Linked DNA regions of Tamandua tetradactyla. The protein of the gene in region 4 interacts with the protein of the main gene of each other region in a pairwise test. Links are inferred from orthologs where the notes say so. Each region holds a gene or a part of one and is shown on either strand. Other genes may lie near its edges. The genes, in order: FBXL18, DMRTB1, FOXP3 and RBPMS.

Evidence for each region.
Region 1: the proteins of RBPMS (region 4) and FBXL18 interact in a two-hybrid assay, tested with the Homo sapiens proteins (2 studies listed by BioGRID). The two-hybrid records come from large-scale screens. The link is inferred for Tamandua tetradactyla from reciprocal best matches to the Homo sapiens genes RBPMS and FBXL18.
Region 2: the proteins of RBPMS (region 4) and DMRTB1 interact in a two-hybrid assay, tested with the Homo sapiens proteins (2 studies listed by BioGRID). The link is inferred for Tamandua tetradactyla from reciprocal best matches to the Homo sapiens genes RBPMS and DMRTB1.
Region 3: the proteins of RBPMS (region 4) and FOXP3 interact in binary tests that used the Homo sapiens proteins (3 or more experiments, as listed by UniProt). The link is inferred for Tamandua tetradactyla from reciprocal best matches to the Homo sapiens genes RBPMS and FOXP3.

The regions. Positions count from the first base shown.
Region 1 is NC_135349.1:4,674,310-4,681,815, forward strand, and holds the start of FBXL18 (F-box/LRR-repeat protein 18), read right to left. Parts: upstream 3,138-7,506; 5' UTR 3,035-3,137; coding exon 3,017-3,034; intron 1-3,016. UniProt on the Homo sapiens protein: Substrate-recognition component of the SCF (SKP1-CUL1-F-box protein)-type E3 ubiquitin ligase complex.
Region 2 is NC_135328.1:168,179,576-168,187,087, reverse strand, and holds the start of DMRTB1 (doublesex- and mab-3-related transcription factor B1), read left to right. Parts: upstream 1-4,301; 5' UTR 4,302-4,331; coding exon 4,332-4,977; intron 4,978-7,360; coding exon 7,361-7,512.
Region 3 is NC_135353.1:120,889,968-120,897,837, reverse strand, and holds the start of FOXP3 (forkhead box protein P3), read right to left. Parts: upstream 3,513-7,870; 5' UTR 3,493-3,512; coding exon 3,283-3,492; intron 2,762-3,282; coding exon 2,657-2,761; intron 2,552-2,656; coding exon 2,416-2,551; intron 2,003-2,415; coding exon 1,912-2,002; intron 1,842-1,911; coding exon 1,737-1,841; intron 868-1,736; coding exon 780-867; intron 588-779; coding exon 507-587; intron 1-506. UniProt on the Homo sapiens protein: Transcriptional regulator which is crucial for the development and inhibitory function of regulatory T-cells (Treg).
Region 4 is NC_135352.1:13,318,777-13,327,032, forward strand, and holds the start of RBPMS (RNA-binding protein with multiple splicing), read right to left. Parts: upstream 3,680-8,256; 5' UTR 3,634-3,679; coding exon 3,568-3,633; intron 1-3,567.

The DNA.
Region 1 (7,506 bases), on a different chromosome or scaffold from region 4:
ATGCAGCCATACAAAGGGATGAAGGGCTGATCCATGCTACAGCACAGATTAACCCGGCAGACATTAGAGTGAAATAAGCAGACATAAAAAGACAAAAATATTTCACTGATATGAAAAATCCAAAAAGATAAACCACAGAAACAGAAGCAGATTAGTGATTGTCAGGGGCTGAAGGAAGAGGGAATGGGGAGTGGCTGCTTATGGGGTGCAGAGTTTTATTATAGAGTGAAAGAAATGGTTTGGAAGGAGACAGAAGTGGTGGTTGCATAACACTCCAAATATACTAAATGTCACTGAACTGTTCACTTTAAAATGGTTAATTTTGAGTAATGTAAATTTCACCTCAAATAATTTTTTTTTAAGCGGCCCAGAATATGCTTAGACACACACACACACACAAACCGGTACTTGTACAATCTCTCAGGACAACACGTGCTCAGCCACTAGGGAAACTGAGGCAGACCAACCCCTCTTCTTAAAAAAAAATGTAAGTAATCTGAGGCCAAAGGACAAGCAGTGACTGAGGCAGGGTCAAAACGTCCGAAACCGAAACCACCCTTCCCTCCACCACCAAAAAAGGACTGTCCGGGCTTCCAACGAGTTCACACCCAGGCACTTTCTTGAGTCCCCTGAAATTTCAATCCAGGGCTGAGGTGCAGGCCCTGAAAAAATGCCTTTAATAGTTTCAAGTGATTCTTATCAGGCCAATCTGTCAACCATTTGGCTAGAACCAGATGACAACCTGAGGGTATCTTAAAGAGTAGTGGGTTACAGAGTTCAGCTATTATTCACTAAACTCTGCTTCTTAAAAGAATACTTTTCAAAATACAGAACATGAACTGAAACCCCAATATCTGCCCCAAAATACACTCTTGTAGAAAGGGTCCTGATCCATTTACCAATCAGGCACCCAAAGAAATCACAGGATTCATTACCAGACAAATGCTATATCTGGAATGTGTTTTAAATAATGGAAAGGGGAGAGAAGAGAAGAGACAAAGATGAAACAAGATTGGTCACATACGGATAACTACCGAAAGTAGGCAACGAGTACACAAAAAAGAGGCGCGTTACATCATTCCTTTGCAAGTATGTGGAATTTTCCACTATAACTTTTTTTTTTTAATCACAGGCGCAATCTGAAAGGACACATGATTTTGAGGTCTCCACTCTTTCGACACTGTCCCTCTTCTTAGGTCTTCGCTTATCTAGTTAGTATTTTCTGGAATGTTCCCTGATACAAACACCTCCAACAGCACAAGCTGTTCCCTCCACCAGACACGCCCCGTGAGGAAACGCCTGCGGCCTGGAACCTCAGCTCAAAGGCTACTTCCCTAGTAAAGCCCTCCCTAGATCCCCGGGGCAGCAGGTCCACTCCCTCCCCCAGGACAAATTGTGAAAGTATGCTGCTTATCTCATCCAGCAGACCAGGAACCGTTCCTGGACAGGAACTATTTTGTGAAGACCAAGAGGGAGAGGCACTGAACGAGGTGAGTCCACGCCACCCCTGCTTCAGAATCACCTGAAATGCTATTAACCACGTGGTTTCCTCAGAAACCCCAGGAGGAGTCCTGGGCATTTGCATTTTCAAGTCAGCAATGACTTCTGAAACGAGACCACCCCATTTTGGAGTTAGGTGGTGGGGATAATCGCTCAACCTTGTGAACTATGATAAAAACCAGTGGATGGCAGTTTTAAAAGGGTGAATTTTACGGCATATGAATTTTATCTCAAGAGATAAATAGGCCATTCCAGAAAAAGGGACCCTGATTCCACAACCAGGGCAAAGCACACATTCTTCTCTTCTCTTAGCCCAAGAGGGCTCAATGCAACAAGAGGCAGACCTCGTTTGTCCACGTGGGGCCTGAGAGTCAAGACCCACCCCAAACACACCTAACTAACTTAAATCTGCTAACACAGCCAGGCCACCCAGAACTCTTCCTCAGGGCGCCAGGCCATGTGGCTCTCCAATCCCGTCATGAGTCTGCAGGTCAACCCCTCACCCTTCCGTCTCAACCAAGAAGCCACAGGGGACACTTATGCGCAAAATTCACTTCAAAGAGTACCTGCCAGCACTTCCCAGCCGCCTGCCACACACCCATGCCCATCAATTCTAAGGAAGACACTCGAAACCTCGTAGTCCTATTTCCAGCACACAGGCAAGCCCCCGGGGCTTAGGAAGTACACTCCACAGTGGGACACCTGGAAGGCCACGGATATATACACAGGTACACATACAGGAAGGAAGGGGGCACCAAAAGGGGAAGAGACTACTCCAGATGTCCCTAAGCCCTCGTCTGCAGAGGAAATACCTCGTCCCACATTACAGGGATGCATCTGGATTCTCCATCGGACCCAGATTTACAGAGAGCGGCATAAGGAAGCTTTTCCTTCATCACCCCCAAGTCACACAACAGGGCGCTCCAGAGAGAAGTACCTGGAGTGAAACTGAGCATTCGAGACAGAAGATGGAGTGGGTAGGAAGCGGCAAATCTCAGAGTCGCGAGACCTGAGCCAAGGCACAGGGACATGGGCAAGAGTCTAGGAGGTTTACAGAGTCCTGGAGACTTGGGAGGCGGAGTCGTGGGGGTGGGGGCCTCTGGCGATTAGGAATCGAGGGCTGGTAGAGAAACGGAAAACCGAAAGGGGAGAGACCTTGTGCTTCTGGAGACAGAGCCAGGGTGACCGGTCAGGACCTGGAGAGGGGCAAAAGCAGGTTTGGGATGGGAAGGAAGGGGCGGGGTCGTGGCCAGGGCAGGGCAGCAATGACCAATCCCGGCCGACGCCAGGATCGGGGTGAGAAGGATCAAGCAGGGCCGGGGCCAGAGTTCGGGGTGGGAAGAACAGAGCGGGTCCAGGGTCGGGAAAGGAAAGACGGAGCGTGACCGGGATCCGGTATAGCACGGAGCGCGGCGGGGGTCAGGCTGGGAAGGACGCACAGGGGTCCGGGGGCGGGATGGTGAGGGCCGAGCGTGGCCGAGGCGGGGAAGAAACCGGAGAGAGGCGCGCGCCGTACCTCTCCGGAGCTGGCCATGTCGTGGGCGTGCCGTGCCGCGGCCGCCGGGGCTGCAGTCCCAGGCCCTCCCGCCTCCCCGGCCAGAGATGCTCAAAGCCGGCGCGTCCGCCGCTTCACAGGGACCCCGGCAAGGGGCGGGGCCACCTCCACTTCCGGCGCTTTGATTACGCACTTCCGCTCGGCCTCAGGCGCGGCCGCCATGTTGGGTGCGGCACCGCCCAGGGACAGGGGGCCCCGCGGCTTCGCTTAAGGAGCGCAGTGAACCCGAAGAGCCCCGAATGACTCCGGGTGGTCCCGGCTCCCTCTCTGCCCTCAGCTGTCACCCCTGTGCCTCCCTTTCTCCGGCCACAGTGGCCTCCTCGCGCAGGCCCAGCCCGCTCCCGCCTTTCGCTTTTGCTGTCTCCCCTGCCTGCCGGGGCCCCCTGCCGGAGAGGCTTTCCCGGCCGCCCTGTCTGAACTAGCAGCACCTCCTCCCCACCCTCCGTGCACCGCAGTATGCCCTCGGCCGGTTATTTCTCTCCTAGCTCAATCTGACCTACTGCATCTTTTTTTTTTTTGCCCTGCCCCCAGTAAAATGTAAGCCAGGCAGGACCCCCATTAGCTAGAACTCTCCCTGGCATGTAGGAGGCACTGAATGAATATTTGCTGGGTGAATGAATGGATAAACGATAGGCTCTCACCCCTAAGCCCTTCCATTTAAAAAAATGTTTCCCAATATCGAAAATTGGTGGGACAAGCTCCTTTGAAAGAACTGAGTTTGAATCCCGGCTACCCTAAGGCTTGTCTCCTCTCATGCCGTCCTCAGCTTCATTTCCCTCCCACGTTAGAGAGTCGAGCACAGGGCTCGACTCACGTAAAAGCCGGTCATTCCCACCGAGAGGCTTCTGATGAGCTCTGCCTTCAAATGGTTTTAAGCATCAAGTTCAATTTCAGGCGCAGCCAAAGTGAGCACTAAAGGAGGCTTACTTCTGGAGCCCAAGCAAGAGAGCCCAAACCCTGACCCAGGCAAGTCCCTAGCGGAGCCTCCCCCATCCTCCTGCGCCTCTGCGTCTCCTCCTTTGCCGGCTCCCTCCATCCCTGGCAGCCTCTCCCCCTGCCGTTGCACCTGTTCCTGTTAATTGGGAAATGCTTTGTCCCTAGTCCTGGCTAATTCTGGTTGTAACTCAAGTGTCACCTCCTGGGAGCAGGTCTTTCTTGTCATTCTCTTGCTCAGCCTCTCGGACCACATTCTTTTCCCATATACTCTCTGTTAGAAACTTTTATTTACTGCTGTTGACTTGTGTGTTTTTTTTAAGAGATTTTTTTTTAATTGTGGAAATTTCCAAACATACGCAAAAGTACCTACCATGTACCTACCCGTTATCATCCATCTTCAACAACCAGCAATATTTTGCGACTCAAATTATATCTACTCCTCCCCACCTTTAATCTTTTGGGGGGGTGGGGTGGGGAGTATTTTTGAGCAAATTTCAAGTGTACTTTCACCTCCAGATTCTTTAATATACATCTCAAAAAAACACAATTTCTTATATAATTACAAAGCATTTATCATACTTATCAACATTAAAGATTCCTTAATATCATCTAATACTTAAGAGAAATTAAAATTTTCCCAAATGTCAAAAATCCGTTTACAGTTTGTTTAGGCAAATAAAGGAGGTCCAAGAAGGATTTATTCATTGCATTTACTTGGTATTTTCTTAAATTTTTTTTTTGCATGGGTAGGCACTTGGAATCAAACCCGGGGCTCTGGCATGGCAGGCGAGAATCCTGCCTGCTCAGCCACCGTGGCCCACCCTTTCTTAAATCTTTTTCAAGTTAAAAAAAAATCTACCAAAGTCCCCTTGCCCCCGATTTTCATGATATTTACTTGAATTGGCTTCTGTATTTTCCGCCTCCCCACTAAAACTGTGCTTAGCATAGCAGGCCCATGGTAAATACTTGTTGAATGAGTGATTGGTAAAATGAGGTAATACCAAAAAGTGCCCAGCACAGAGGAGGGATTCAATAAAGGGGAGCTGTTATCACTGATTATTATTAGTTCCAGTGAGGAAGGAGTCCCTTATGTGACATGTGGCCCCAATTCTTAGGAACACTTAAGTTGGGAACCACTGCACTGGAGGAGATGGGGGTGGGGAGTGGGTTCCACGGCCTCGCTGTTCCTACCCTCTCATGGACCCTTCGGGGGTGGGGGTCGGTTGTGGGTGATGCTTCCTCATTCCTGCAGCTCCTGGCTGGCCCAGGTGGAGGACAAGAATCCGAGGCCAGGACAGTGCAATGGTGGCTCAGTGGCAGAATTCTCTCCTGCCATGCCGGAGACCTGGGTTTGATTCTTGGTACTTGCCCATGTCAAAAAAAAAAAAAAAATCCATGACCAGAACTGAGGACTGGGCCAAGTGGGTCCCCTGGGATCTGGGGTAGAGGCTGGAAATGATGAGGATGCTGGCTGCTGGACTCTGCTCCATCCATTTCATCGAGAGGCAGGGTCTGGGGAAAAGCGACTTTCCTGATGTCAGTAATAACCGCTACCATCCCAAACCCCTATTTTGTTGCCAGCACGGTCACGTGAGCTCCTGCTCAAAATGTCTCCAAGCTCCCATGGGGTAGGTGTGTCCTTTTATTGTCCCCATCATGCAAAGGACGACACAGATCCAGGTGAGTAGTAGAGCTGGAAGGTGAGCTGCCTCTCTTCTCCAATACCCGTGACGATGCCACCCAGGAATTCTCCACTTCAGGAGGGAGGAGAAACCCTCACTTGGGTGTTAGGAGGCCGAGGCGAGGGGCAGCCTGGGGAAAGGGGTCCAGGCTGGAACAGGGCAAGCTGCAGGTCCTGTGGATGGAGCCTCCAAACCTCCTAGGAGAGCTCTTCTTGTGCCAGTGTCTTTGAAGGAACATTCACCTTCTCTTAAGCTCCCCACTGCCGCCATTAAATCCACAAGGACCTTTGAAAAAGGCATACCTGACCATATCAGACCTCTGCTCAAGACTCTCTGACTCCCTTCCCACTGCTCTCGGAGTGAAGCCCAAGTCCCCAGCACAGCTAACCGGGCCCAACTTGGGGTGGCCTCCATGCCCCAGAGCCACAGACTGTTCTCCTGAAGGTACTTCCACTCTGTGTGCAGGGCATTTGCACGTACTATGCTTGAAGCAACAACCCCACCCTTAGCTAATTTCTCTTTATCTTCCCAATATCACTTTTTTTTTTTTTTTAAATCTTGATTTTTTTTACATGGGCAGGCACCGGGAATCGAACCCAGGTCCTCAGGCTTAGCAGGCAAGCATTCTTACCTGCTGAGCCACCGTGGCCCGCCCCCAATATCACTTTTGCAGAAAGCCATCCCTCCCCCCAGACCAGGTCATAGCACATCTTGTCATCTGCCACAGTCCCTGAGAATATTCCTTCGTGGCATTTATCACAGTGTATAACTAAATAGCCTTGGTATCATTTCTTGGGTTTCCCACTAGGCCAGCACTGCCAAATGGAACATTCTAGAGTGATGGAACTGTTCCATGTCTGTGCTGTCCAATGCGTTAGCCACTGGCCCACGAGGCTATTAGGCGCTCAAAGTGTGGCCGGTGCAACTGCAGAACTGAATTCCTAATTTTAATTAATTTAAATTTAGATAGCCCTTATGGCCAGTAGCCATGTTTCTTGAAGATGATTGTATGATGATATAGCTTTCACAAAGTGACTGTGTGATTGTGAAAACCTTGTGTCTGATGTTCCTTTGATCTACGGTATGGACAGATGAATAAAACATATGGATAAGGAATAAAATAATAGGAGGAACAAAGGTTAAAATAAATTGAGTGGATTGAAATACTAGTGGTCAATGAGAGGGAGGGGTCAAGGGTATACCACGTATGAGTTTTTTCCTTTTATCTTTCTTTTGCTGGAGAGATGCAAATGTTCAAAAAAATGATCATGCTGATGAATATACAACTATGTGATGCTATTGTGAGCCACTGATTGTAACCATGACAAGAATGTTTGTATGTTCGTTGTTTATAATAAAAATATTTAAACAAATAAATAGGCCTTATGGCCAGTGGCTCCGAGTTGAACAGGCCTGTAAGTTCCCTGAGGGCAGGTGTTCTAGTTTGCCAGCTGCCAGAATGCAATATACCAGAAACGGAATGGCTTTTAAAAGGTGATTTAATGAGTTGCTAGTTTACAGTTCTAAGGCCGAGAAAATGTCCCCATTACAACAAGTCTATAGTAATGTCCAATCAAAGGCATCCAGGGAAAGATACCTTGGTTCAAGAAGGCCGATGAAGTTCAGGGTTTCTCTCTCATCTGGAAAGGCACATGGTGAACACGGTCAGGGCTCCTCTCTCAGCTGGAAGGGCACATGGCAAATACAGCATCATCTGCTAGCTTCTTCCCTTCTGGCTTCTGGTTTCATGAAGCTCCCCAGGAGGCGTTTTCCTTCTTCATCTCCAAAGGTTGCTGGCTCGTGGACTCTGCATCGTGGTGCTGCAGCATTCTC
Region 2 (7,512 bases), on a different chromosome or scaffold from region 4:
GCCAAGTCCTAATTACTTATTGCCCCACTTAACATCCCTGGCTTCTGAGAGAAGAACCAAGAGCAGGAACTAGATATCTGGATCTGTGGGTTCCGGTTTTCTGGCTCTTCCATGTCTCTTCTCTCTTCAGTCTTAGATAAGTGATGCCTATCATGTGCCCCAAGGACTCCCTCCATGATCTAACGGCTACCTATCTCTCCACCTCCTCTCTCCCCAGTCTCCCAACTTTGCTGTATGACAGCCATGCTGCAGGCCTTCAAACATGTTCTTTCTGCCCCAGACATACTTCTCCTGCTTCTGTAGCTAGCTAATTCCTACTCTTCCTCTGGGCCTCAGCTTAGCAATCAGTCCCTCTGGGAGTCTTCCTTGGTCTCTCAAACCTGGTTAGAGCCTCCATATTGGCTCTGAAAGCATCCTGGGCTCCTTGCCACTCCACCATTCCCCCTGCTTTCATCATACTGAAATTATTGTTTACTGTCTGTATTGACAGCTAGAATGTATGCCTAAAGGCAAGTATGTTGGTTTGAAAGGATTATGTACCCCACAAAAGCCATGTTTTAATCCTGATTTATCTTGGGGAGGCAGCTGTTTCTTTTAATCCCTATTCAGCACTGCATGTGATTAGATTATCTCCGCAAAGATGTGACCCACCCAATTGTAGGTGGTAACCTTTGATTAGAAGATTTCCATGGAGGTGTGTCTCCACCCACTGAAGATGAGGTTGCTTACTGGAGCCCTTTAAGATGGAACGATTTTGGAAAAACCTTTAGAGCAACAGACCCATGAGAACCAAGGGAGCCCACGCAGCCAGAGATCTTCAGAGATGAAGAAAGAAAATGCCCCTGGGGAAGCTTCAGGAAACAAGAAGCCTGGAGAGAAAGCTAGCAGAAGTCGCCATGTTCACCATGTGCCTTTCAACTGAGGGAGAAACCCTGAATGTCATCGGCTTTCTTGAACCAAGGTATCTTTCTCTAGATATCTTAATTTGAATATTTGTATAGACTTGCTTTAATTGGGACATTTTCACTGCCTTAGAACTATAAACTTAAAACTTAATAAATTCTCCCTTATAAAAGCTGTTCTGTTTCTGGTATATTGCATACTGGCAGCTTACAAACTAGAACAGCAAGGATCCTCTTTTTTTTTTTTTTTTTTTTTAAATTTACTTCCCTGTCCTTTATCCTTAGTCCACAGCTGGCACTCAATACATATTGGCTATGGGTGGAGTAAAGCAGTGGAATATCCTAGGAAGTTTCCCCAAGTTGCTACCACCTTCAACTACTTTTGCCTCAATTGTAATGAGTTTAGACTAAGATGAACACTTCTACTCATCACCAAAGCTTTCTTGGGGAGAGCACTTGTTTAGAAGAAATATTTGGTTAGCAAATATCTGGTTAAGAGCGTGAACTTTAAGGTCAGATTTCCTGGTTTTGAATCTGTCACTTACTGGCTGTGAAATCTTGGGCAAGTTACTCAACTTCTCTAGGCCTCAGTTTCTTCATGTGCAAAACAAAGGCAATACTGTGGTAACTACCTTAAAGAGTATGAAAATTATAAAAATTACTATACATAAAGAACTTAAGAATTCCTGGCACCAATAAATACTTTTACTATTATTACACCACTAGGGATATAAGGGTGTGGGGTGAGCTCAAGGAATCAAAGTTGATACCCCAATCTTGTTATGTTAGGAAAGAGGTCACTGTGGGCTCTCTATTTTGCTGAACACTAGTATAATGTTTGGGGAAAACTGCTGAAACCAAGCTGATTTACTGTGCAAATTAGGGAGGAGATAACTTTGGCTTCGGCAGAAGAGGGAGGCAGGATTTATTTGTATATGCAACAAATATTTAATGAATTTCCACTATGGGCTAGGCAAGGTTTTTCCTCCTTACTCTGGGGCACCAATGATTGATTCATCTGACCTCTGCTAGGAATTTTAAACAGACGAGGAACAAAGAAAAATAAGATAGCAACAGCCTTAATCCCCAGAAAGCTGACAAAAATCAAGAAAGGCCAGAGGAGTCAGCAATGCTGGGCACTGCGTTTCAGGGGAAGGACAGATCAATATATCTTCACTGGGTATGGCACAGCAGAGGAGGGTTTTGAGATAACAGAAATGCTAATGCAGGATTTCAAAGCATCTACTATGGTATGTGTAATGTAAATCCTCTCCCATCTCCTTTACAAAATCTTCATTAAAGTTTTCATGCTCACAATATATGTATGGGTTATAGCTGCTGGGGGAGGGATACTATAGACAAAAGAGCCCTTCCTTACTCCTACTGTGCTACCAGTAGGGAAACATTACAATGCATGCAATATTTAATGATTATAGATGATACCCATGTACACTGTGTAATACAAGGCTCTTTAAAATGAATGAATTAACAATACCAAAAGTACTCATATTAACTGATGTGAAGAGGAATTATATAGGAAACTTGGAAACTTTTTCCCAAGGGAAAAGGGAGCCATACCTGAAGTTGGGAGCCAGATATGATCACTACCCCAGACTCTCTAGCAAACCGGTGATTTCTCAGCAACTGTAATCTGTCCTTTTATAAATGACTGTCTGTAATTCAGATTTTCTTAAAACATAAATGTTTTAAGATTTAGGTGTGGAGAAGGAAGGGGTCTACTGTGTGCTTTCTGCTCCCATGTTTTTCTGACTTCCAGTTTTCCACTTTTACATCATGTTCCCATCTTTTAAATAACAACAAATGTATATATTAAAAACAAAAAGCAACATCTCATTTCATCATCAGCCTCAGTTATCAAACCAAATAAAACAAAACTATCAATTTTCCTGAATTTCCAGGAGTGAAATAAATAAAGCTCTGCTGGAATTTACCTACACAAATTGAGACTTTGGGGGGGAATAAAGAAATAATCTTTTTTCTTTTCTTAGATTTGTTTACAATATCAACCCTGGGGTTTCTGCATCTTATTATGTGACTACTGATTAAAAAGATATTATGTTGTTTATTAATGTTCTCAAAGCACTATGCCAATTCACATCAACTTGGGTGTATTTTGCCCCTAAAGCTATGAAGTAAATATGGAAGCATTTTGTAGTTAACAAGACTATAAAATATGTTAATTCAAATACTTTGCTTTAAATGGGATTTTTCTTTTTTTTGAACAGGATTTTTCTTTAAATCATTAATGAGAAAATGAAGAAAGCTTGGATAGTCGAGCATGAAATGTAAATGAGAGTAGTTATTTTTTAAAGTATCATCATCTGATATCACAATTTAAATTTGATATTGCACAAAATGATCTTATAATCTGCAGTATCATGAAACTATGCAGCTTATGCCCCAGATTTTTTGGTGGCAGTACTGAAGCCAAGATTTTAAGTAACATTTTCAAATGACTAGATCAGTGAAAAACTTAAGACATTCTGAACTGGGTGAAATAAAAAAAAAGTGCTTGCCTGCTTTTTACCTATGGGGCCATATATATATATAATATATGCATATATATATTAACCACAACTACCTCCTTAAATAATTATATGACTGACCCTGTCACCTAGGCACTGATGGCCCCTTTCTCTTGTTCTCTTTTTTAAACCTAAACAACAACAACAAAAGACCTCAGAGTGTCACTTTTCAGGTATCCTGAGATTTGGATTGGTTTACAGAGATCACTAAATTCAAGGCAAAACTAAACCAGGATTCAAGTTAGTAGAATATCCCGAGACTATATTACTTTAAGATGTCCTAAGAATGTTTTACTTTGGAAGGCATCAACACAGCAATATCCTACCTTCCAGAAATGCATCCCTGTACCAGCAAGACTCTTTTAAGAACTGGGAATTACCCTGGAGCAATCATCACACAGCACCGAGCTCTTGAGAATATTCTGGAAGCATCACACTGTGACCGGTTGCTTCTCTGCAGGGGAGAGAAATGAAATTCAGCAGAAGCAGCAGCTTTTGGGAGGTGATACACGGTTTTCCTGTGAGAATGCTTTTCTACTGGAATGGGTTTACAGAGCACTACATTCCTCTGGAGTTTTAAATCTGTGGACCGTTGAATATGACTCCGCCTTATTTGAAGTTGCAAAATACCTTCTATCTGGGGTGGCGGGAATCAGAACTTTGGAAAATTAAATGTCTGAGACTTCAGACAACCCAGATGGCGTGCATGCAATAGCATTCCATGAAAAACGTATTCAGCCCAACCTTTGCACCTAATTACCCAAGGCGCAGAGATTCAGGGACTCTCCAAATTTTGCATCCCCCCCAAAAGGGAGGGCAATTGCAAGGGTCTTGCTGCAGTTCCCGGGACGTACCACCAGCCGCTTTGTTACAAGTGTATCCAATGTCCCCAGCACCAAGGACTTCTGGGGCGCCGCTCATCCTTGCTCCACTCGCTCTGCAGCTACCGTCTGGGGAGGTTGTACAAGCAGACCCTACCAAGCAGGCCGACAAGATGCTGCGTACCCCGAAGTGCTCCCGATGCCGGAACCATGGCTTCCTGGTGCCGGTCAAGGGCCATGCAGGCAAATGCCGCTGGAAGCAGTGCCTTTGCGAGAAGTGCTATCTGATCACCGAGCGCCAGAAGATAATGGCGGCGCAGAAGGTGCTCAAGAAGGAGACGTCTGAGGAGGAGCAGATAGCCCTGGGCGCGCAGGGGCCGGAGCTTGCCTCCAGGGCCATGGTCGCCGTCCCCGGATCAAGCCTCTGCCCGCTGCCACCGCCCTCCGCTGCGAGAAATGCAGAGCCCGGCCCTCCGGCCGCCCGCTTCCTTGAAAGGCCCCCGCCGGGCCCGAGCCCAGGCCCCAGCGCCTTCCAGCCGGTTCTGGGAGGCCGCGGCCACGTGAGGCCGAATGAAGGAGTCGGGGCGGCGATGCAGGGTTCTGTGGGACCCCAGTTCGAAGCGGAGGCCGCGGGCAGGGGATACCCTGGTCAACTGGAGATGCCAAGGCTGCTGAGGCCCGTTTCCAGCCCACCATTCGCCGATTTCGGTAAGATTCCCAGGCCCCGTGCAGGCATGCCCCACCGCCAGTTCCTTTCCAGGCTGTAGTTTCCCTGCTCCGGGAGCTCCCAGGCCCGCCCGGAACCGCCAATGTAGGCAGTTGGGGGGGGAAAGTGGGGAAAAGAGGTAGCCTTTGCTTTGACAAATCTTTCTCTGAACAGGGCTTGGGTTGGTGCCTTTTTGCAAAAAGAAAAAAAGAGAAAGGAATGAGTGGTCCACAGGACTTTTAACGTTTAGCGACAGTTTTTGCCTTTCCATCTTGCAAGAAAAAAATGGCTACCACGCCAGCTTAGCTGTGACTCCTCGGTGGGGACGTCCTGTGGAGACCAGTCCGACTGCGCTTGCGCACCTCTTCCCGCCTTTTTCTTGGACTGGCTGCTCCTCCCCCAGAGCGTTTCAGCCGGTGGGCAGGCTCAATTCTGGCTGCTCCTGCGCAACCTTTTGTAGTTTGGAGACTCTGCCCTGAAGATCTGTCCTTAGCAGGGCCCTGGTATAACGCACCTGCACCTGCGCACCCCTTGCTGCTCTTTTCTAGGCCTTGCGAGTCCTTCCACCCCGCCTATTACTCTGTGGGTGGACCTGCGCCTGCGCACCCACCCCTCCTACTGGTGGGCTGAGGTTCCTCCCAGAAGACTGCCCGACAAAAAAAAAAAGCATTCTGGCCTGATGCGCCTGCGCACCCATTCCCTCCATTTTCTTGGGCGGGAGTGAGAAAAGGTTTTACCCGCGGCCCCCTACATCCACTGGAGAGGAGCAGTTGGTTTACTGAGAAGTTACTGTCTTTAATTTTTTTGTCCCTCACCCTTGCATAAATTACATTATTACTGATATCTTACAGCATTCAGTATTAAAGTATAATTTCAAGTCACTTATAGATTTGAGGCTTTCAGAACAGGTTCTTTTTTTAAAAATATTTTGATTGATAAACAACATACAAACATAAGCATTCTTAACATACAAACATTCCATACACCTACAGTCAATGGCTCACAATATCATCACATAGTTGTATATTCAACACCATGATCATTTCTTAAAATATTTGCATCACTCTGGAAAAAGAAAGAAAAAACTCATACATACCATACCCCTTACCCCTCCCTCTCGCTGACTGCTAGTATTTCCATCTATTCAATTTATTTTAACATTTGTTCCCCCTATTATTTTTAATCCATTATTTCTTACTCATCTGTCCATACCATAGATACAAGGAGTGTCAGACACAAGATTTTCACAATCACACAGTCACACTGTGAAAGCTATATCATTATACAATCATCTTCAAGAAACATGGCTACTGGAACACAGCTCTATAGTTTCAGGTACTTCCCTCCAGCCTCTTTAATACACCTTGAACCAAAAAGGTGATATCTGCCTAATGCATAAGAATAACCTCCAGGATAACCTCTCGATTCTGATATCTCTCAGCCACTGACACTTTATTTTGTCTCATTTCTCTGTCCCTTTTGGTCGAGAAGGTTTTCTCAATCCCTTGATGCTGAGTCCCAGCTCATTCTTGGATTTCAGAACTGGTTCTTTTTAGTGTGGATATGTTTTCTCGGTATCTTACCTATAGCAACATGGTTGAAAAGCACAGGTCTGAGTCCAGAGGCTGGGGTGGGGGGTGGTTGGAGAGGAAGGCTGCTCAACTTTGAGCAGACTGCTTCTTTCTATGCCATTCTCTCCTCTCTGTATCTCCCTACTGAGACTGGTCTGGATACTCTTTGAAGGCCATTTCTGTCTTCTGGGGCATTCTAGGAAAATCGAGGTTTCCCAAGAAACCAGCTGTCTGATGGGGAAGATAGACCTGAAACAGCAGTTATAGGAGAAGGCTGCCTTCCCAGGGTCACAGTCTCAACAGACACTAATGATGAAGAAAGAAGCAACATTCTCTGCACTCAAGGATCTTGTAGTCCTAGTGGGAGGGACAGCATGTAATCAAAGAATCATGCAAATAAATGCATGAAGCTATAATAACTGATGATTTAACTGAGGTCTGAAGGAAGAATAGGACTTGATGAGCACACAAGGAGGCAAAGTGGAGCTACGGTATAAGGCCTTCCAAGCCCAGGGAACAGCATCTGCAAAGGCCTTGCGATGAATGAGGTTACAGTTTATGATACGGCTGGAGTGGAGGCAGGAACCAGACCCCATGGTGCTGCACAGACTGTGCTAAGAACTTTTTCTAAGAGTGGTTGGACATAGTTGTGGAGTTTTAAGAGGAGCAAGGTTCATAGACGTAATGGATTTGGGAGTTCTTTGCAAATGCATATGAATGTTTATTACACTGCTATCCTTGGTTGGACAGTAATGTGATGCTCTTTTCCCCAGCTCTGTATTTCTAATGCTTCCCTATTGCTTGCCTTCTTCAGGCCACCCTCTGAATGTCTCTCCTGATGGTGTGGTAGGGCCTGGGTATCTGAGAGAGAGAGAACCTTCCAAGCTGTATCCCAGTTGCTCCAGCATGCACTCCTACCACCCATTCCCACCGGGTTACCAGGATGCATCCCCAGCCCCAGGGACA
Region 3 (7,870 bases), on a different chromosome or scaffold from region 4:
AGACTGAATTAGTGAGTTAATGCCAGGAAAGTGTTCAGAACCACCTCCTGGCCCCCAGGGCCGGCTTCCTGTGCATGTGACCCATGCAGTTGCATGGGGGTCCTGTGTTCAGAAAGGCCCTCCCCCCCCCTTTTTTTTTTTTTAATGTTCTGCTGTTGCCATCTCGAAATTGGAACAGGGGGCTGCCGCATTTTCATTTTGCTGTGGGCCCTGCAAATTAGCGTAGCTGTTTCTGCCGCCAGTCTGTGCTCAGTAAGTGTTTGGCTATTTGCTGTTGATCTGAAAACTTGGAATCATGATGTCTTGGGATCTTAGGGTCAGAAAGTTTGTAAGTGGCAGGTGGCAGGTCCCCAGGCCTGGGTGTGTCTGGAGCTGGGGCCAGGGACCCCTAGATCTCTAGGGCTTGGGCATAAGAATAGATCCCCTGCAGGTACCCCCCCGCCCCCCACCCCCGCTCCCCGCCATCCCTGTCAGTCTGTGCAGCCTGTGGGCCTGAGGTCACTCACCGCAGAGGGAGCCTTCGTCAGCGCCATCTTCCCAGCCAGGTGGGCCTGCATAGCACCCAGCTTTTCCTTCTCCAGTACCAGCTGTGAGGACAGATATCCACTTAAGGCCTCAACCTAGCCTTTCTCTGCCAAATCTTTGCCCAGGCTGTGGTGTTCCCTGGGCCTGGTCCACCCCCCACCTTTATGCCAGCCTTTCCTGGGTGAGCTTGGGTTCCCGGCACAGGATGGACATACAGTTCACTCACTACCCCCCACCCCCACCCCCAGTGTCACCTGCTGCTCCAGAGACTGCACCACTTCCCTCTGGAGGAGGCATTGCGCCCTGCCCTTCTCATCCAGGAGATGATCCGCCTGGCAGTGCCTGGATTGGGGGAAGATTCCAGGTAGATGACCATGGCAGGCCTGGCCTCCTGGCTCAACATGTGGAGTGGGGTGGGCCCTGACCCTCTGGGGGCACTTTCCTCTGAACCTCAGCCCCTTCACTCCTCTCTACTCTAGTCTTCCTCTCACACCTGTCATGTCTTCAACACATGCCACTCGGCACCCACCGTGTACCAGGCCCAGAGCTTGCCACTTGAGCTTGGTCAGGGTACTGGAGAAGCTGTTGGCAGGGTGGTGAGCTGAGAGTGGGCCAAGCGGAGGGGACAGCCTGTGCAAAGGCCTGGTGGTGAAATGGAGTAGGAAGTATTGAATTGCCACTAATAATTGGGTATAGTTGGAGAAGATTTTGTGTGTGTGTGTGTTGTGTGTGTGTGTGTGTGTGTGTGTGTGTGGTGTGTGTAGTAGAGGAGGGTAGTGACAGCCATTTTGAGAAGCTGGGACTCTGCATGAAGGATAGCAGGGCAAAGCAGTTAGGAGCATGGATTCTGGAGCGAGGCTGCCTGGGTTCAAATTCCAGCTCTCACACAGGAACTGGGGTGATCTTGGTCAAGCCACTTAAACTTTTGGTCTCAGTTTCACCGTCTGTAAAATGAAGGTAAATCACAGTACCCACCTGTGTTCTTATGCTCATTATAGAGTTGAGGAAACTGAGGTCCAGAAAAGCTAAACAACTTGTCCAAGGCCACACAGCCAGTGAATGATGGGGCTGGGATTTGAACCTAGAGTCTCAGCTCTTCCCTGCCTTGGCTTACTGCCTATTGGGATGAGGCCTGAGCTGCACCCCAGAGATGCCCCGCAACCCAGGATGCTCCTCCTCCCGCTGGACTGGGGCTGGGCGGGGCCACTCACTTGAGGAAGTCCTCTGGCTCTTCGAAGACCTTCTCGCATCCGGGCCACTTGCAGACGCCATTTGCCAGCAGAGAGTAGGAACCCTGGGGTGCAGCTGAAAGGGTACTGGGGGGAGAGGGGGTGTCAGGGGGAGGGGGCAGCAGGGCAAGGGTCTCACCTAGCCCCACGCACTGACCTGTCCTTCCTGGGCACGCCAGGGCTGGGGAAGGTGCACAACAATGCCGGCTCCCTGGATACCCACTCCAGGCTGGCCACGTTGATCCCTGAGGGTGGGGACAAGGCACCTCTAGGAATTGTTGGTTGGGCTCTGGCGCTCGACCCACAAGGCTTCTCATTTTGAGCCTCCCACCCTCCTGCACCTCGAAGGCCCTGACTTCCAGGGGGCTCCGCTGTCCTGAAATCCCAAGGCTTCTGACAGACCAGCTCAAAGACTGTCATTCGCAAGCGCTGACATTTTGACTAACTTTGCAGAGATCTGCGGTTCCGTGATTTTGACATTCTGTACCTTTTAAGGTTCTGAGCCTGACATTTTTGGGAGGTTGGAGTTTCCAAGACTCTGAGACTTGACACCTCTGACCTCCTGGGGACTGTGTTTCAGAACAGCCTCCCTTGCTCACGTTCAAGGGTTTGGGGACTCGGGGTAATGTGAAGCTGTGGGGTGGGGGTTGAGGTGTTACCAGTGGCAGACCTGGCCGGGCCTTGAGGGAGAAGACCCCGGTGGCAGCAGTTGGTGGCGGGAGGCTGATCATGGCTGGGCTGTCCAGTGGGCGCACCTGCAGCACGGGTGTCCGGGCATGGGCATCCACTGTTGAGAGCTGTGAGGCACATACAGGCCATGGTTCAGCCTGGCTTGGGGTGACCCTCCCCTTACTTAGTTCACCCACCTGCCCCCTCCTCCTTGCCTGTTTTGGGGTCAGTACCTGATGCATGTAGTGTGGCCTGTCCTGGAGGAGTGCCTGCAAGTGGGGCGAGGAGCCCAGCCGTGCACCGGAGGGTGCCACCATGACTAGGGGCACTGTGGGAAGCTGGGGGAAGAAGGAGGTGGGTGAGCCCCTTGTTCTCACTGTTTTGCCTGTCTAATTCAGATACTCTTCCCCACAACCCCACATGGTAGGTACGGTGATTATCCCCACTTTACATGTGTGGAAACTGAGGCTTAGAGATATTGAGTGACTTTTTAAAGATCACCAAGCTAATAGGTGGCAGAGCTGGCCTCAACCCTGTCACCTCACCTCCTCTGGCCCCAGCCCTCTCCTCGGTCACACGGGGATGGGGACACATGGCTGTGCTCACGGAATCATGACAGGGCCTCCTCCTCTCCTGAAACAGGGATTGGGAGGTCGTGGAGAGCCTTGAATCTCTGAGACCTGCTAAATGGGGACTTTCTTGGCCCCGTGACATCTGCATAAGTCACAGACTTGCCTGGGACCTAGAAACCACTTCCTGCGCCCCAGCTGGGCCCCCCGCCCAGTGCCACAGTAAAGGTCGGCACCTATAGGCCCAGGTACCCCACCCTGCCTGCCCCATCCTGAGCCCTGGGCCTCACCTGCAGCTGTGAAGGTGGCATGAGGTTCGAGGTTGAGGAGGAGGCATGGGTCCCACCTCGGAGGTCCCGGCCCTGGAAGGTTCCCCCCAGACCCCTGGCCCCCAGCAGGTCTGAGACCTTGGGTGCAGCGCGCCAGCTGGGCGAGGGTCCTGGGGATGGACTGAGGGCCAAAGAAGGGGCCGAGGGCTTGGCTGGCTTGGGGTTGGGCATTGGGTCCTTGTCTGAGGGCAGGCTGCAGAGGGAAAAATAGAGAGAATGAGTTAAACATGTGCTGGGGAGTGCATGAAATACTCAACCGCCTGAACCACGTGGACACCCACTCTGGGCAGAACAGGCATTGACTGGGCATGTCCTGAAGACCCCCCAGCTGAACCCAGCTCTGGTCATGTATGCACACACACATGTGCAGATGGATGTCAGGATCGCAAGTACACATGTGTACCCCCACACACTCCATGCACAGACATGCACAGGTCCAGCTTATGGCTCGTTCACATATGCTACCACAGACATGGTTTGGATGTGTCTTCTGAGGGGCAGTAGGGGGTTCAGGTGGTGCCTGGAGCCTCAGTCAGAGTAGGTCTCAGGCCCTTCCTTTGCCACTAAGACCTTGTCTTCAAGCCTTAGCCCTTTGGTCCTCTCTGCCCCCTTCACAGGGCAGCTCATCCCAGCCACCTGAACTCATTGTATCTCCATGGTTTGGGCATGTGCTGGGATTGAGTGGGGCGTGGATTCCAAAGATTCATTTGACTGCTGTGAGGATGACAAACTGTAGGAAGGCCAAGGCGGGAACTGAGGGACAGTGAAGAGGCTATGGTGAGATTGCAGGTGAACAGTGATGGTGGCGAAGACTGGGATGGTGAGAAGTGGGATATTCTGGGGATATCTTAAAGGTGGAGTCAACCTAATGTGCAGATGGCTTGGATGTGGGGGATGAGGAAGGGAGAGTCAAGGTGACTTCTGGGTTTTAGCCTTAGCAGCTTGGAAGGACAGACTGAAATGGTCTGAGATAGGGGTGAGAGGGGGTGGCAGGTTTGCAGGGTGATGATGTAGATGTGGATGGATACAATGACTCTGGCATTAGATGTGCAGTGCAAGTGTCGAGTGGGCAGCTGACAGTTGCACTTGTCCAGCTGTTCAGGGCAGGGTTAGGCTAGGTAATCTCTGGACTTCCACCTGCCTGGAGCCAGGTGCCAGAGAAGGGAGGTGGGGGAGAGAGGCCATCTCCTGAACTGGGACCTGTGGGAGCTCCCCAGCCCAGCTCCAGAGTTTACCCTGATCTCTGCTCCCCAAGCCTACTCCTGAGCCTTTGTGTCCACTCCTCCTCCTCTATCCAAGCCAGGAAAGGTCTGCTGTCATTGTCCTCACCCAGAAAGCCATCCACAATGGCTCCAAGACGCTCTGCTGAGCCTTGCAGCCTTACACTCTCCAACAGACAGGACCCCCGTTTCTCAGAATCGTGGAATCCTAGTCTGAGAGGAAGTCAGAACTGAGCTGAAAGGGACTGCAGGTCCAATCCCCATTTTACTGAACAGGACACCCGAGTGCAAAGAATTCTGCAGTCCCACGGTGACTTAAGACCTCCATTTCTTTCTCCACAAAGTGTTCCTGTGTGTGTTTGTGTGTGTGTGCGCGCAGCTCACAAGCCAGCTTCTCTGTGTGTGTGAAACCCACCATCCCATCCCACCCCGGAGCACTGGGTTGGGCACACAGCTGCTGACAGCAACCTGGGAGAGTACAAGGAAGGTTCTGGGAGAGCAGTTGCTCCTTCCTTTCTTTGCTGTCACCTCGTGGTTGTCAGAGTTGTGGTGCCAAGGGAAGTGGGTGTTGAGTCCATGCATCAAGGAGGGTGTGAGCTCTTGGTCTCTTGGGACTCTTGGGGGTTTAGAACATTCATTCGTGAGAATCAGAAGCCTGAGTCTATGGGGGCTTGGAACCAGAGCCTGGGAGAACAGTGGTGACCATAAGGAGGTGAGTGAATGAAGGAAGGAATGAGTAGGTGTTCTCACCCCCCACTGGCCTGGCCCACCTGGCTGGCCTGTGGTCACTTCTGAAGCTCCCCGGACCTATGCTTGGCAGGACTTTATAGGAAATCTCCCCCGACACATATGGAATGGCTCGACGTAGGCATGCATAGACACATTCTCAGAAATGGGACCTGGATATGGTCTGTCTGGTGGGGTACCCGGAGGGCTGGGCTGGCCAGCCGGCTTCCTGCACTGTCTGTCGGGGCGTCCCTTTCTGAGTAGGTTTCTCAGAAGCTGCCTGGGGGATGTTTCTGGGGACACAGATCATCTTCTCGTATCGGGGTCTGCATCTGGGCCCTGTCGTCACAGCCCCCAACTTCCCCCCGATTTTTCCGCCATTGACGTCATGGCAGCCAGATGCGCCTGGCTTCATCGGCATGCAGGAGGAAGAGAAGGGGACAGATACCCCACCCCACGGGTTTCGTTCTGAGAATTGGCCGTTCCATCCTTCAGCCGGCTTGGGTGCTGGCGGATGTGGTCGGTGACGTCCATCTGGCCGCTATGACAAGCCCTGGGCCCTGTAATGCCTGTGGCGCTTCTTGGAGAAGTTCAAGGTTTGAAGCTTGAGGTGAGGTGCGGTGTCATGGAGGTCCCTTCCCCATAGATACTGGGACCTTAGGGAGTCTTCAAAATGGCACAACCCCAGAACCTCAGAATACTAAAACGTCATTTCTTAGATTCAAAGGACTCAAGAATCTCAAAATCCCTGACTCTGGGAGGTCCATGGGGCTAGCTTCTCAGTATGTATAGGCCAGGGGCCCTGGTTTCCAAACTCATTGGAACTCCCTGATGGACGGGAAGCTATCAGGCCTGGAATTGCAGCGAGCCTCCTCTCAGCCTCCCTTGTGAGTTCTGTGAAGGCAGTATGGTCAGAATCACCCCCTCATTTCCCTCAGCTGGGGATCAGTTTCTGCCCCTCACTAGCTTTAACTCTCCAGCAGGCTCCTCATATGTAATAGTAATTGACCATAATCCTACCCATCTTCCAAAGTCAGTGCATGTGAAAGGCTTGGCAGAGTGTCGATGATTGGTGGGTAAATGATAGTTACAGGGTCCTGGTTTCCCTGCCCATTGTGGGACAGTGTTCCTAGCATCATAGCCACCCCACCAGTGATGAGAGAGGCAGGAAGGGGGAAGTGGAGGCAGTGGGTGATGTCCATCTGACCACTGTGACCAGCTTTGGGACCAGTGTATCTGTGGCAATTCTCAGGGCTGTGGAGAGGCTGAAGGTTTGAAGCTTGGAGGTGGCCATGCCTCATAATGTGAGGAGTAAAAGCCCTGGCCTTTGCTAGTACTGACCCCCACAACCAGAATCTGAGGAGTAAAAGCCCTGGCCTTTGCTAGTACTGACCCCCACAACCAGAATCTCTGGAGGGGCCCAAGGGAAAGCGGTCCCCAGGAACGATTGCCAGCTCTGGGGACCTGGCTGCACTCTGTCCACAGCCAGACCAGCAGATGGGTTGACTGACTTCGGCTCCTCCATTATCACCACCCTCTGGTCACCTGGCTTCTGGCCCTTGGGACCTGGCTCCCCACCTAGCCCAGATCTTCTGAGTCTGTGCCCCATGTGGTAACCATGGCTCCTCTGGCCTGGGTCAGGGCCCAGCCTGCAAGAAGGCAGGGAGGAAGATGGCAGCATTTGGGGGCAGCTTGGGTCCCTCACTGCCCTCGTGTGCATTGAGGGATAAACTGAGGCCCACGGTGAGGAAGAACGGAAGGGTCCCACTGAATTTCCTAAGATGTGGGCTTGGGCTCAACTCTGCCACTGAACCTCTGGGAGGCCTTGGGAGAGGCCTTCCGCCCAGCTCCAGGCCTCAATTTGTTCCTCTATATGCTGGTGAGGGGAGAGGGTTAGGGGTAGGTGAGGGTCAGGATCCCTTCAGTCTGAGTCTGGGGGAGTCATTAGGTGTCTATGGGGCTTTGAGTCGACAACTACTCCTCTATCCAGGGCTGAGAGACAAGGATACATTGAGATGAAGTAAGACAGAAACAGAGAGAGACAGAGGCAGGGATAGACAGACATGGGAAAACAGAAAGGTACTAAGAACAAGAAAGAAAGAGAAACAGAGAGAAATAGCGTGTGGCAGAGACAGACATACACAGAGAGAGACAGGGAAAGAGAACGAGGGAGAGATAGCAAGAGATATTTAGAGAAATAGAGGGACAGAGACAGTGACAGAGAGAGAAGGAAGGAGGGAGAACTGTGGAGACAGGGAGAGGGAATGGGAGAGAGAGAGAAAAAGAGATACCCAGAGGCAAAGAGATACATAGAGACAGAGAAAGAGAGAGAAGAGAAGAGAAGGGAGGAGAGGAGAAGAGGAGAGAAGAGAGGAGAGGAGAGGAGAGAAATTGCCCCAAATAAGAATGATCGCTGGTCTGTGTCTGTAGGAACTGAGGCTGCCTGAAATAATTAACGGCAAGATGGTCCAGGTATGTTCATGGCTTGTATTGCAAAGCAACCAACCAACCAGCGTGACTTTGGTTCAAGAGCAGACAACTATAGTAATGGAACAGAATAGAGAGCTTGGTCACAGACCCACGGACAAATGGGAATGTAGTTT
Region 4 (8,256 bases):
GGAGGAATGTAAAGTAAAGATTTGTGTTAACCTCTTAAGAACTGACTTTACGTGATTTCTGTCCAACATCTGCCAAACATCTTTCCGATTGATATTCCAGCAGTGCCAAGATTTTGCTATTTCAGTTTTGTTTTAAGCACAAGTCAGTTTGGTAAAAGTGATTTAAGGAGAAACTACTCTAACAGTGCTTCAACATAATAAAATGCCTTTTAGAAATGATTTGTAGTCAGCCTGAAATGTACATATTTATAAGATTTCGAAAAAGGAAATTTGTTTGAAAAATTCACTGACCAATAAGTAAATTATTTCTTTCTACTAGATAAAGTCTCACTATATTTGAATGTATTAAGACTTATGATAACTGGTTACATAAGACAAATAACTATGACCCATATTTACATTTTTTAAAATTGTAATAGTCTGATTGAGTGCAAACTGCCAAAGGTGTTTTAAGAGAATGTTGTCTGTTCCAAAATTAAAGGCAAATTCTAGAATTTTATTAATTGCAAAATGATGTAAAAAATGATGCCATATACATACATATATATACATAGGCCTTATAAATCTCAGCATCCATTAAAACCTCAACAACTGGTTTTTCTTTATAGGAACAACTTTATAGGAATACATATGTATAATACACTAAAACCAGAAAGCCAAGCAGAAAATTATCTCCCTTACACAGCTGGCTAGCCAAATCTTAGAATCATTTTTCCTCATAGTTTTAAGTGTTATCCAAAGTGGAAGTACCTGAACTGTCCAAGTTCTCAAAAACTTCCAACCCTAAAAAACTATAGAAATTATCATAAATCTTATTCTGTTCATTCTATACAACTGGAACCAGGTAGGTGTTTCAGCATCATTGGTTCAGAATAAGCATTAGAGGCTCTCATATAGGGCTAAAATATACAGGATGATAAATGGAACTCACTTAAAAAATATTTTAAAAACATATAATAGAGTAGAAATCCTAAACCACCCTAATGATAAATAAACTATGTTAATGATGATCGGACTCACTTTTCTATAACAGTTCAGAAAACACATTTTTCCTCATGTTATTGTATATACGCATTGTACATGTGTGCGCTGTTTAAAGCCAAAGCTTTAAACATGTTTGGGGAGGAATTGCTGATTTGCTGGGCAGGCAGAAAAGGGTCCAGTGCCGTGGTTTTATACAATGTTGAGCACATGAGTGGGACTCACCAAAAATCATATTTATTTTACTTTGCGGTTTTCAGGGTTAGAAAAAAAAGAGGTTAGGAGTTGTCCAAAAACAAAACATAAACCCAAACCAGGGAACTGATGCCAAATTACCTGGATCTTTTGGACCAATCTCTTTTCTTTTCCTGAATTGCTAACACTATACAGACCCTCTCTTCACAGTGTTATCTGTTAGGTGACACCCACCTCTCGGTCAAGTTGGATTCTGAAATTTTCTTGACGGTCCTCCTGTTTTTTTTTTTTTTTTTTTTTTTTTTTCTTAAAAAAGAGTATTTTTCTTAAAAACTAAAACAAAACACTGGCATTTTCTAGAGCCACATGTCATTCCCACCTGGAAGGGACAGAGTCAGGTCCACTGCACAGTGACGTCCACCGCGAGGGCCTGGGAATATACTCATTCAACAGCCTGGCGAACTCTAGCCAGAGAGTCCCAAGTGCAAGGCAGGCAACACCTCCCTTTTTGGCGTGCTTCAGTCGAGTGGGTCAAGCAGAAAGAAAAATGTGACTTTTCTCGGACTTGTGGTTCCAGGACACTCCAACCTCTTGAGCCACATACCAAAAGCAAAAAAAAAACAAAAAAAAAACCAAACTTCAGTTTGCCTGATTGACTTCTTCCAATTTATGAGTTTTCTCGATGGGGTGAACGGATCAAGATGATTTCAAACAATATGTTCTTACTCTTATAAGTAGACAGACTGCCAATCTAACTGAAATAGAAAGGTTTCTGAAGCAATTGTCATTTTGAGAAGTTGAGTGTATTAGATCAATACAGCAATCCCTAAAAGAGTAAACTTGCCATCATTTTAAAATTATAAGTGGTAAGGAAAAATAAATAGCAAAGCAGCCAGCAAGGATGAAGAAAAAAGTGGAATCTGCAGTTCAAGTCTCCACCTCTTTGAGAAAGAAAAGAAATACCAGTAGTATTACTTTCTTTGTAATTATGAAACAACAATATGTAAACACTTTTCAAGATAATAGTTTGTAATACAACAGATAATACCCTTAGGTGAGAAGGCAACTTTTGTCTTCATTCAATTCACTTAGGTTACACTAAAACACAGCAAATAAGCGTAAAATCTTATATTTATTTTGCATTTTTTGCATGGTCCTTGTTTCTCTCCTCTATCTTCCAGGTTTAAATAGTTCCCATATTACAAATGGACAATGCGCTTAAATTTATTAATGAATTACTCTCTAATGTTCGGTTTCACTGTTAGAATTTTCATTTGCACACAACACGGTATCGAAGCAATCTGATTCCTAACCGCTTTAGAATAAGTTTACCATTCCATGTTTAATTTATTATATTAGAATGCAAAACCTATAGGAATGCTTTATGGGTTATATCTAGATATCTGCACACACTATAGAATGTTTAAGAACTCAATTATATAAGATCTTGAACTGCAGATACGGTACCTGCAGGAATGGAGTCATCTGATAGGATACCAGCAAATATCCTAACTGCAAAATTCTGAAAAGTTTTCTCATGGGCCGCCCCCTACGTTTACTGACTTCTGTGTTTACACCAAAGAAACGCTCCGCAGCCAAAACATTTTTATGGTTTTTTCGGACGCACCAATAAAGTTTATGTTCAAAAGTCAAAGTGCTGTAAATACAGCCTCGATGGTCATTTGGTGAACGGTAAAATTTTTAACCCTTTTATTCTGCTCCCTACCTCGGCATCGCCCCCAAACTTGCTAAAGCTTATCGCCCACTTTCGGGGTCTTTGACTCATCAGAGGAGAATGCCGCGGATCAGAGAAGAATGCGGCGGATGTTATCTATTAATCCAAAATGCTTCAGTTTTTTGGTAAAGAAAAAGTTCTTTACCCAGAACTTTTAACTTTGAAAGGGCTGGGGACAGAAGAGTTCCCAGAGTTTCTCCCTTAAATCACACACACACACACACACACACACACACACAGCGCCTCAGCCTCAGTTCTAACCTTCCGGGTCCCAATAATCTGAGGTCACCCAAGAGTCACCTCTCGATTCCTCTTTTAAGATCGCGGGCAAACAAAGCTGAGCATTATACTTAGAAAAGTCTCCAAAAATGCTCGGAGTTACGCAATTTTAGGCATGCAGACGCGCGCAGACACACAAAAGATACACCCTCCCGGGGCCAAATTTGGGGTTATCTCTAGGGGCAAGGTCAAGCCCCAAACTCCCGTCTTCACACACATACACGCACACGCGCGCGCACACACACACACACACGCCTGCGCCCCAGGACCAGAGCCCGCGCCCCGCCGGCTTCTCCCTCCCGGCCGCCCGCACTTTGGAAAGAGCCGGCGGCTTCCATCCCCGGTCGCACCCACCACCGCACCGAACCATTCGGTACCTCTTCCTCCTGAAGGTTGGCCTCGCTCGGGGTGTTCTCCTTCTCGGCTTTGCCGCCGTTGTTCATCTTCCCGGTCCTGGCTCGCGGGGCAGGGCTGGGGCGCGGGGCTGGGCGAGGGCGCGCTCGCCCGCTCTTCCCTTCCCCGGGCGCCGGGGCTCCCTCGGGCGGGGCGCCGCGGGCTGCAGGGGCTGGAGCCGGGACAGCGGCGGCGGGCGCCTCAGGAAGTGCGCGGGAGAGACTGGGCAGGGCGAGGGCGCAGGCAGCCGGAGAAGGGAACGGAGACAATCGCGACCCGGGAGAAAGACCTGGAGAGGGAGGGCGGGCGCGAGGGAAGGAAGGAAGGAAGAAAGGATGGGGCGAGGACGCGCGTCCCGGGAGTGAGCCCAGAGAGTTGGGGATGTGGCCGAGTTGGGCTGCCACTGCCCGAGCCTAGCAGCCGCTGGAGCGAAAAGTCGGAGGTGGGGGGGGGGGGGGGGGAACGAAGGGTCCCCAGAGAGGAAGAGGTGGAGGAGGAGGAGGAGGAGGTGGAGGAGGAGGAGGAGGAGGTGCCGGGCAGCGGGGCTCGGGCCGCGACGGGGACGCTGGGGCCGCGAGAGCCGCTGAGTGCGCGCTCCAGGCAGGCTCTGGGAAGTATGAGATCCAGGCAGCTCCCTTTCTCTGGCCTTCCTCCCTCCTCTCTTCCCCCCACCCCACCCCACCCCACCCCGCCTCCCTTCCTCCTCCCTCCGCCCTCCCTGGACGTGGGCTGCAGCCTTCGGCCCTGAGGGACGGGACCCGGGCCGGCGAAGCCCCCTTGCGGGAGGAGGGGCTGCGCCGAGAGCGGCTGCCCAGCGGCCGGATGGCGCGCTCCGGGGAGGGGACGCGGGGCGGAAGCCCCCGACTTCGCGGTAGGTCCGAGGATGAAGGCAAGGGCGGGAGAGGGGAGAAGGTCCGGGTCCCCCCAACCTAAGTCGGCTCCGAGGGCCCCGGGTGTCCGAGCCGGGCCTGAGTTGGAGAAGTCGCGTGTGGGGGCACGTGAGCGTGCAGAGGGGCTTCGGGGAGCCAGGCCCCTGCCGGTGCGGGGACCCGGAGCTGTAATGGGTTACTTTTGTTGGCTTCCTTTTCAGGAGGGCTTTGCACCCCTCTCCCTAAGTTTACCCCTCCTCTTTTTTGTACTAGTTCAGACATAGCTTCTTCCCCCTCTGAACCGGCAGATTGAAATGACGGGGTGAAGTAACTCAAGAGACCCGGGGAGAGCCTGCCCAGAGCCTGCTTTTTCCCACCCTAACTTGAAACCTACCTCCTGCGCGGGTTCTCGGAAGTCTCGCCTGCCTCCCCGCACCGACTGTGGCTTTGCGCCGGATTTCCCAGGGCCCTCGCGGAGACCCCTTTCTCTTAGCCCTTATCAGACTGTTCTGGAATTATTTGTTTACCTGGCTTTCTCCCTTGCTCTTTTGGGAGATCCTTCCTGGAAGACAAAGACCATGCCCTGTTTATCTTTTTAATCCCGTGACTATTTAAATACACGACTTAGTACATAGTAAGCACTCAATAAATATTTGTTGGCTAAGTGAATATTCCTCACCGCTAGCAGAACTGGAGACACTACAGATGATCTTTAAAAGGCTCAAAGTAAGTATAAAGAAAGGGGCCTCAGTGTTCTGGGAAGTAAGCACGAACTGTTTCCTCGTCTGTAAAAGGGGAATGCTGAGGTTTATCTCCCAGGGTTTTGCAGATAAAAGGAGATAATGGATGGATAGATACAGAGATAGCATGTAGCACCCCTTCTTGCCTAGTTTAAGTCCAACCGTAGGTGGAAGCTAACATTAAGAAAATTGCACTTGTTACTACTGGGCCAAAGAGAGCTTCTCCAATAATGGATCCTTTAAGCTTTCAAACTCGACTGCTAGGAGCATAAAAATGGAAAACCCCATATTGGTAGGTTCTCCTCCACTTCCTGATCCCCAGGAATTCTCTCTCACAGCCTCCTGTTCCCTCCCAGCACCAATCACAATTTCTAATTATTTGCTTGTTTAACTTTATCTCTTTCTCCCCTCACCAGACATTCTTTACTCTGCGCTGGTTTAAGAGCTGCAGGGAGTGGGCTGGGTGTGGAGGTGGGGGTTGAAGATAAGGCCCCTGCCCCAGGGAGTTAGTGGTGTTGTGGAGACAAGCTACCCAAAACTATTTCCCATCAACACAATCTCAGAATTCTGGTTCAAATTGCAGAAAGCAAAGTGAAAAAATATTTGCATTATGACTATTATGAAGAGAAAAACAGTAAAGTGGTACTTGGACCTAAATTGGGATTTATTTGGAGGTCCGAAGCTTTTGATAAAGAAGCTTACTGTAGAAAAAAAAATACTTTTCTTTAATTGCTGTCATAATATCTTTCCTGTCTATGGGAACAAAAATATATCCTGGCTGAAAATAAACCAACTGTCTATTGAAGTGGTGACTTAAGAATCCAGAAGAGTCAAGGGCTACAGTTCCTCCCAAAACTTGGTAACTCTTGGTTCTCCTTGTATTGGCCAGTATATGGATAGTACACCTTGGCAAAGCCCTTTCCACTGCTAATACTCCCTCAGTTGTATGAGGTCACCACCTGGGGGCAGTGTCTTCCTGAGCAACGAATGAGTGGTGGTCTTGGACCCCTATGCTTGCTAGGAATGCCAGCAGTTTGCCCTCCTTGGCTATCCCAGCCTGCTGCTGAAGACACACCACAGAAAGGCATTGTCTTGTTGGCATCTGGCAAAGGCCCAAGAAAAGTGGCCATTGATCTGGTCACTGATGGTTCCAGTCAGACCCCACTTATGAGAAGGTGGAGTATGTTGTGTGAGTCCAGGATGCTGGGGGGACCTTCCCTGCCCCTGCCCCTGCCCAGGGAAATGTGGCTTGATTCCAAAAGTAAAAACTTGATTCTTTGTCTTGAAGCCAAGTTGAGACTTTGTCCATTGTTAGAAGTCAAAAACCCCAGGGATAAAAAAGGAAAATAAATTCCACGAGAGGACCCTTGTCTGGCTTGTTCATCATTATGTACCAAAGATCTAGACAGTGCCTAACACTCACATGACACTCAGTAATTATTTTTGAACAAATGAGCACATTAAATCTTATCAGTTATTGACTCCCTGGCTCAAATGACATCAAGTCTTTCTAAGACCCTGTGGGAAGGGCTGAATTAGTGGTGGCATCTTGAACAGCCCAAAGGGGCATCATGGCAGTGGTCTTCAGTCATCCTTTTTCAAGGGACAGACCCTAAATTAAGAACTTGTGCAGAATGGGACAACTGATGAGATTTCAAGAAATAAAAAATGTAATTACACTGCTGTATCGACAGTAAAGGAGGAAGACCTAGGAAATACTTAATGGTAAGAGCGAAATTCAAGGTGTTCCCAGAAAAGTGCGTAAGGTTCGGGTTATATGCTGTGAAAAAGAGAGATTTCTGTTTTCTGACCATTTTGTAAAGAACTGTTTAGACCTGTTTGAAAGAACAATTGAGCAATGTTGTATTATCAAACAAGACCCACTGAGAATCTGTAAACAGACTTTTGCTATTTATAAAACTTTGGGAATGAAGGGAGTTTGACTCTGGAGAAAATAATATGCATTCAATCAGGATATAAATGGTCTTTATGACCTGTTTACTACTTAAAAGAAAAAAAGTGAGAGCTTCTCAGTAGCAATAGTTTCTTGGTATACAAAGAATTCTAAGACAGCAAATGGGATATAAGTCCTAGAAACAACATGGGGTAATGAACAGGAAACCTCTGCTTCCTCCCCTGCCCACCACCTTACCACGTTGCCATTTGGCCCACGAGGTTAAATGCTTGATTGAAAAGGAAATACTGTGTACACCTGTAGTTTTTATTACTCATCCCAGTTGCTCTGGCAGTGTTCATTTTTGAGGTTTGCTTTAAGAAGTTCCAACCTATAATTATGTCTTAAATGTTTGTCTCTGGGAATTGCGGACATTAAAAGTCTGTTTTGAGGTTGTTTCTGTGGCATCAGCTTTGGACCTCTTAAACATGCAGCAGAAAGCTGCAGTATCTACCACGTGTCATGATGGTCTGTTCATTTCTACTGGACCAAAAAGGTTCTTGAGTTCCGAGACTGTGTTATTGTTTTTGTCATCCCTGACACCTCAGCCCACCTTCAGGCTATCGTCTTGCCTCCTGATTCTACCTCCTAAATAGTTCTGAGATCCAGTCACTTCTCTCCAATTATTTGAGAAAGCCCAAGTGGCCACCTAGGGAGGTCCCACAAGGCGGTCCCTGGCTTACAGCCCCAGCTGAGCTCTCCGTGGATAGCCAGCACCAGTTTGCCAGCCTTGTCTTGGAAGTAGCTGCTCCAACCCCAGTTGAGCTGCCCAGCCGATGCCACATAGAAGAGAGATGAGCTGCCTTCACTGGGGCCCTACCCAAATTGCAAAATTGTTAGCAAAATGTAAATGCTTTGTCTTAAACCACTGAGTTTTGGGGAGGTTTATTATATAGCAATATATAACTGACACATAATTTGGTATCTAGAAGTGGGGTCCTGATCTAACAAATATAAAACATATGGGAATGGCTTTGAAGTCAGGTGGAAGCTGGAAGAGACTTGAGGATTCTATTAGTGAAGTCTTGTTATTGCAGGTTGGAGAAAAGGTGACTGAACTTACCTGGTGGCGGACATTTAACTAAACAGTAGACTATAATTACATGAGAT